Callithrix jacchus: one gene and its partner. The protein of the gene in region 2 interacts with the protein of the main gene of each other region in a biochemical or structural test. Links are inferred from orthologs where the notes say so. Each region holds a gene or a part of one and is shown on either strand. Other genes may lie near its edges.

What was found.
Region 1: the proteins of HNF4A (region 2) and SREBF2 form a complex in vitro, tested with the Homo sapiens proteins (2 studies listed by BioGRID and IntAct). The link is inferred for Callithrix jacchus from reciprocal best matches to the Homo sapiens genes HNF4A and SREBF2.

What each region holds. Positions count from the first base shown.
Region 1 is NC_133502.1:189,861,832-189,865,583, forward strand, and holds the end of SREBF2 (sterol regulatory element-binding protein 2), read right to left. Parts: intron 3,063-3,752; coding exon 2,951-3,062; intron 2,488-2,950; coding exon 2,267-2,487; 3' UTR 409-2,266; downstream 1-408.
Region 2 is NC_133506.1:39,770,741-39,774,392, reverse strand, and holds part of HNF4A (hepatocyte nuclear factor 4-alpha), read right to left. Parts: intron 3,579-3,652; coding exon 3,423-3,578; intron 488-3,422; coding exon 251-487; intron 1-250. UniProt on the Homo sapiens protein: Transcriptional regulator which controls the expression of hepatic genes during the transition of endodermal cells to hepatic progenitor cells, facilitating the recruitment of RNA pol II to the promoters of target genes. Activates the transcription of CYP2C38.

The DNA.
Region 1 (3,752 bases), on a different chromosome or scaffold from region 2:
CCAGCACTCCCATCCCAGCCTGTGGTCCTGCCCCTGGTGTGTCTCAGCAGCCTCACAAGGCACTCACTCTGGGCACACAAGCCTGTGGAACTACAGTCCATGGCGGAGCTTAGCATCCCCATTCTGCACACGTGGAAGTGGAGACAAGCACAGGACCTGGACTTGGGTCTGACTTGTCTCCTGGCTCAGAAGGTCACTGCCTTCACAGAAGGGAAACCAGGGAGCAGCTTACTCAGCAGGGGAGAGGTCAGCCAGTTGCATTATATCCAGAGAACAAGCTGGAACCTGGATAGCACGACCTCTGACCCCCAAAGCACCACCCACAGCCCCTGGCCCATTGCCCACCAAGTCATGCAGCCCCTTGGCTGGACACCACAGCAGTCACATTACAGACCCTCACACACCTTGTGCTGGGTGGTACCAATCTGTGTTTATTGAATAACCTAGGTCTGGGACACAGTGACTGAACATCAAGGAAGCCATAGGTGTACCCCCATTTTCAGTGTAAAATCACCCCCTCCCACCCCTAAACAATAGAGAGAAAAGGCACAGGACATATACACAACACTCGGGTGGGAAGGGTCCATAAATTACAGTAAGTGGGGGAGGGGCAGGAGAGAAAGCAGGTGGGGTCCAAGCACACCCTAGGGACAACACAAGCTGATGCATTCCAGCCTGCATCAAGGGGCCCTACTGTGAGCAGCCCCCAGTCTGTATTAGGGCTCCTGCCCACCCTCTGCCCCAACCAGCTTGAGGATGAGGCACAGGGAGTCCAGAAAAGTGGGACTTTTTCTCCTAGGACCTGCATCAAGGCAGGGGACCTCATTCCTAGTGCCCACCAAAGGCAACCTTCTGCCCACTCTGTAAAGAAGGGCTTGCCACTGGGGAGGGGTTGGGCCACGTTGGTTTTTTTCAGTTCAAGAATTAGTGATAAAAAGGCCAGGCACAGTGGCTCATGCCTGTAATCCCAGCACTTTGGGAAACTGTGACAGGTGTATCACAAGGTTGAGAGATCAAGACCATCCTGGCCAACATGGTGAAACCCCATCTCTACTAAAAATACAAAAACTAGCTGGGCGTGGTGGCATGCGCCTGTAGTCCCAGCCACTCAGGAAGCTGAGGCAGGAGAATCGCTTGAATCCGGGAGGCGGAGGTTGCAGTGAGCTGGGATCATGCCACTGCACTCCAGCCTGGCAACAGAGTGAGACTCCGTCTTAAGAAAAAAAAGAATTAGGGATAAAAATATACAGATATGCCTCAACTTACATAGGGTTACTTCCTGATAAATCCATCATAAATGAAAATATCATAATTCAAAAATTCATTTAATACCCCGACAGACCAACTGTAAAGTTGAACCATGGTTGAAGTGAACCACTGCAAAGCCGGGGCCAGTCTGCACTGTGGAGGTAGGTGTTGGGGTCGGGGAGGGGGGAACCTGGACACCATGCTGAAGGTCCCTGGTTCCCAGTCCCAATGGGTGGCTTCATTTCTCCCAGGCCCCTGGGCCTACCCTGAGCTTGGGATGACATCCTAGGAGGTGGAGAGTGGGAAGGAACAGGACAATTAAATAAGATACCATTTATTTCTTAAAAAATTAAAAAATAATGCCAACATAATTTCATCCATCCGCAGGCATGCTCCCTGCCTCCCACCAGCCTCCCAGGGCTGGGGTCCCCTCCTCCCCTGGCTGTCCTATGTAATAAAGGGAAAGACAATGAGTGGGCTCAGTCAGGCACAGGGGAGGGAACGCAGACCCAGGGAGAGAATCAAGATGCTACGGCAACTCAGCCTCACATCATGGCAAACCCAAGCACGCTGATAGAAAACATTCGTATAAAAAGCGGGGAGGGCATGCCAGGCACAGGCCTGAGGGCAGCTGCTCCCTGGTGCTGAGAGACTGCTGTCTCCCAGAGAAAGCCTGATAAAAACTGAGGAAGCAAAAAGGAGAGAGTGAGGTTCAGGAGAAAGTCAGGAAGGCTGAAGGCAGGGGGCTTGGCAGCTTGGGAGCTCCCCCTGCTGCTTTTAAGAACCAGTTTCTACCCCGCCACCTTTCCTCTCATGCCCACCAGACCCTGGACCATGGGCATCTAGTGACAGCAGCTTTAAGGGGCTCTGTCCAGGGGCCCACTGGCCTGAGGTGGCTCAGAAGCCTCGGCAGATGACAGCTAGGAAGACAAGGCTCCTCCCTACCACTCTCAGCAGGAGGATGCTGTGGGGGGAGAGAGGAACCGAGAGAGGTGGAGGGGCGAGCTGAGCCTGGTGGTCAGGAGGCGGCAATGGCAGTGCCACCACCCAGCTTGACAATCATCTGCTGGCAGTCATTGCAGGAGCGCCGGTCACCCACCTTCTCCAGGGTGCGGGCAGCCTCGGCCAGCAGCACTGCCCGCTGGCCCGGGGAGGATAGAAAGGAGAGGGGAAGGTGGCGGCAGGCCAGCAGGATGGCAGTGGCCCGCTCTCGCTGGCCGGGCCAGGCATCCACCTCTCCTATGGTAAAGAGATACGTGTCAGAACTGAGAGTCCATCATGCAGCCGGTGCTGTCCCTCAGCGTTACCTGGACTCATTCACTCAACACTGACACTCATCCTGGGAGGTGGAGTCTGTTGCCCCACCCAGTCCACGGAAAAGAAGTGAACTTGTCCAGTGTTCCACGGCCAGCCTGTGGTGGGGCTGGGGCTGAGATGGAGCCACATGGTCTGATTGGAGCCTCTGCTTCTACGCCTGCACCTGTGCTCAGACCCCACCCCAACCCTCCTTACCTGATCACAGCATGACCCATGACCACCCCAACCCCTGCAACCCACTAAGAGCGGTCTCAGGCTTCTTTCATTCTCAGAGAGGTGTGCTGGCCACAGCTGCTAGATGTGGGAGCTGGGCTGGCCCCAACCCTCCTCTCTTCCCGGGGGCAGGGCCAGCCCCAGCCTGCGAGCTGGAGAGCGGTGGACTCACCGTGCTTCGAGCTCTGTGTGGTGCGCCGCCGCAGACTGTGTTCCAGCAGCTGGTGGGTGCGGGTGGGACTGGCTCCTGCCATCAGGCGCACAGTCGCTTCATGCAGGAAGACCTGGGGAGGTGCAGGGGTGATATCCATTATACTCCTGGTCCCCACCTGTCTATGCTCAGGGTAGCTCTCCCTGAGCCATCTTGCCTGCCACCTGATGACATCCCTTCCCATACCACCCTGCCTTGCTCAACACTGAAAAGCAACCTCTGTTGACCCCTATTCCGACCCTGAGCCAGGCGGGAAACCTGGCTGAGCCGCAGGAGCAGGAGGAAAGGAGAGAGAGGCAAAATGCCTGCTTTCCTCAACTGGTGACAAGAAAGCCGTGGGCGCACCTTGTGGAGCTGGCAGACAAGCAGGGCCTGGGTGAAGCCTCCAGACCCTGGAGGCTGCTGCCAGTTTGACAAAAGGACAGGTGTGGCAGGGACAGAGGGGTGAGGGAGACAGCTGGGCTGGTACCAGAGAGGTTCGGTACCCTCTTTCCTTCCGTATCTTTAGAAAGGAACAGAGTCTAGAGGTGTGCGGGTAAAAGTCTGCAGCGCTGAGGTATGAGTCGCTGGTAGGTGAAGGGCAAGGCCGAACGAAGTCTGTCATTTCTTAAGATCTCAAGCTCTTTTTGATTGCTTTATATCTCAGTCTTCAGTGCTGCCAAGTAGATTCTGGTCTTGGTAGGCAACAGGGAGCCACTGCTGGGCTCTCAGCAGGGAGAAGCAGGATGGAAATGGTATTTAAGAGGCAGCCTTTGGGCTTAGG
Region 2 (3,652 bases):
CTTTGCTGAATTGCCAGCACTTGGAACAGTGATTGGCATGTGCAAGGCTCTCGGCACCTGAACGAACAGACCATTGTCCTTGTTGCCATTTTTTCTGACAAGAAAACTGAGGCACAGACAGGTTAAGCAACTCTCCAAAAGCCACACAGTGGGGAAGCCAAGGAGCTGAGGGGTGAGCTCAGGTCTGTGTGAGGCCCGTATCCTGGAGAGTCCCCGCTGCAACCCCGCCCCTCCTGGGCCTGGCACGGACCTCCCAATAGCATCTCCTGCAGCAGGTTGTCAATCTTGGCCATGCCGAAGAGCTTGATGAACTGGATCTGCTCGATCATCTGCCAGGTGATGCTCTGCAGGGTGGGCAGCAGCAGCAGCAGCTCGCCAAAGCGGCCGCGCGAGTCATACTGGCGGTCGTTGATGTAGTCCTCCAAGCTCACCTGCACCTGGGAACGAAGCCTCTTGATCTTCCCTGGATCACTCAGCCCCTTGGCATCTACAATGGAAGGGGGTGGGCAAGGGAGGGCAGCAGGGAGTCAAGACCCAGATGTCCCCTGACTTGTGTCACACAATGAGTCTTCAGCAGGGTGGGCACAAGGATTCAGGGACCTCAACAATCAGGGTACGCCAGCATGAACTGTGATTTCCTAGACACAGACAGAAAAAGATTCCTGCCACATTTCCTAAGGGACTAAGCCAGAAGGGTGGGGAGTAGGAGATGGAGGGTGAGACTTGAGGAATGTGTCCAGCAAGTACCTAGCAAGCTCCTCATCTTACACATGGGGAACTGAGTCACGGTGCAAGGAAAGGACTTGTCCTGTGTCACACAGCCAGTGGCTGTTTGCAGAGCCATGACGGGAACTTGGGGTTATTGGCCACAGTTGAGGTTCCCTTATTCCGACCTCAAGCATTTGCTGCTTCTACTGTGTTAGAACAGGCTCCCCTTCCCTGATCCCTGTTTCCTATCATCTTAGGGACTCAAGTTAGTTTTCACCTCCTCCAGGAAGTCTCCATTCTACCCTCCTATGTCTGTATCCTGTGTTCCTCCTGTTTCCAAATCTCTGTGGCTCCTCCATCACTGCTGACCACACAGGATGTAATTGTTGTGCCGTCCAACTGTGGGCAGGCATATGGCTTATTTGCCATTTTATGTTTTGTTTTATTTTATTTTAGACTGAGTGTCCCTTGTCCCTCTGTCACCCAGGCTTGAGTACAGTGGTGCGATCTCAGCTCACTGCAACCCCCGCTTGGGCTCAAGTGGTTCTCTTGCCTTAGCCTCCTGAGCAGATGGGATTATAGGCACATGCCACCACGCCCAGATAATTTTTGTATTTTAGTAGAGATGGGGTTTCACCACGTTGGCCATGCTGGCCTCAGACTCCTGACCTCAAGTAATCTGCCTGCCTTAGCCTCCCAAAGTGCTGGGATTACAGGTGTGAGCCACCACGCCTTTGCCATTTTAAACCCACCACCTAGTACCATGCATAATCAATATTTATCGAATAGGGCCAGACTCAGTGGCTCATGCCTGCAATCCCAGCACTTTGGGAGGCCAAGGCAGGAAGATTACTTGAGGCCAGGAATTTGAGACCAGCCTGGCCAACATGGTGAAACCCCATCTCTACTAATAATACACAAATTAGCCTGGTGTGGTGACACATGCCTGTAATCCCAGCTACTCTGGAGGCTGAGGTGGGAGAATTGCTTGAAACTGGGAGGTGGAGGTTGCAGTGAGCTGAGATGGTGCCACTGCACTCCAGCTTGGGTGACAGACAATATGTGTATGCGTGTGTGTATATATATATATATATATTTATATAAATGTAATATATATTTATGCATATAAATATATATATTTAGATGGGTGGAAGAATGAATAAAAAAAAAATCAGTGACTAAATTCTAGATCCTTAGCCTAGAAGGGAACTTAAGAGGTCATCCAATATTTAATCTCAAGCTTCATTGAGGCAATGCATTTATTTCCTCTTTCATGGACAAAGGAAGTGGCAGAAGGAACATTCACCCACATTTTTAGTGGGCTCTCTCCACTGAATCATGTTTGTTCATTATTTCATTCAGTCCACAAACATTTATTGAGCATCTCCTGCATGCCAGGCCTTGAACTAGGTTCCCACCTCTTCAAATTGCTGGAGGCAGCTGCCTCTGACTCAGCATCAGTGATCATGCCCATTTTGCAGAGCAATTCTGCCAGTCCAGCCTCCTGCTGAGCACTATAGAGGATACAGGCTGGGCCAGGCTCTGGAAGGAACCAGAACTAGAAATCTCACCTTCTGGGAAGTGTGGGATAGCATGTGGTGGGTAAGAACGTGGGCTTGAGAGAGAGAGAAACTGGGATCGATAGGTGGTCTGAAGTTCAAGCTCTGCCATTTTCTGGTTATGTGACCTTGGGCAAGTTAACCATGCCTCAGTTTCCTTATCTATAAAGTGGAGATAAAAATTTCTACTTCACAGGTATCATGTTGATAATCCACAGAAAGTGTTTAAAAACAGCTCTTTAGTGAGCATTCAATACATGCTGCTCATCTTCCTCTTTATCACTATATATATATATATATTTTTTTTTTTTTCTTTTTTTCTTTTTGAGACAGAGTTTCACTCTTGTGGCCCAGGCTGGAGTGCAGTGGTGTGATCTTGGCTCACTGCGACCTTCGCCTCCCAGGTTCAAGCGATCCTCCTGCCTCAGCCTCTGGAGTAGCTGGGATTATAGGCAACCACTACCACACCTGGCTAATTTTTGTATTTTTAGTAGAGACAGGGTTTCACCACATTTACCAGACTGGTCTTGAACTCCTGACCTCAGGTGACCTGCCCATTTCAGTCTCCCAAAGTGCTGGGATTACAGGTGTGAGCCACCACACCTGGCCTTTTCATCACTATTATTACTAGAGGTAATCTATCTGCGGTGTGAAGGGCAGTGCCTGGCACACAGTAGGTCCCCTCTAACATGTAAGCAGGGAAGGCAAGCAAACCTCCGGGGTTCAGGCACCTTTGACAGTAGGAAACAAAAGCAGGTTTTGCACAAAGACTGATGACAAAGGCATTCTGTATAAATGCAGATGCAAAAGTCAGTCAACAGTATGGGGAGAGGAGAGCTGAGAGCCACAGGAGAGGGTAGGAATGCTTTATCTTCATCCTGTGATGAGGGCCAGGCTGGTCTTGAGCCCCTGACCTCAGGTGATCCACCCACCTCAGCTTCCCAAAGTGCTGGATTATAGGCATGAGCCACCATGCCTGGTCATATCCTCCCTTTGAATCTTGCCTTGCCTGATGCGTTAAATGAAAACAGCCCCTCCTGGCTGTCATTAACAGGAAATGAGGTTGTGAACTCAGTGTACATAACCCAATAGGAGAAGTGTGACAGAGGGTTCTGGAGAGAGAGTCAGGGATGGCTTAGGAGGTGTGCAGTGTACCTGGGTCAAAGAAGATGATGGCTTTGAGGTAGGCATACTCATTGTCATCAATCTGCAGCTCCTGGAAGGGCAACACCAACTCGTCAAGAATGCGCATGGACACCCGGCTCATCTCCGCCAGCTCCGGGCAGTGCCGAGGGACGATATAGTCATTGCCTGGAAGGTTGGGAGGGAGAGAGGATGGGAAGTCACCTTGGGTTGAGCCCTCTCCTCTAGTTTTGGCTTTTAAG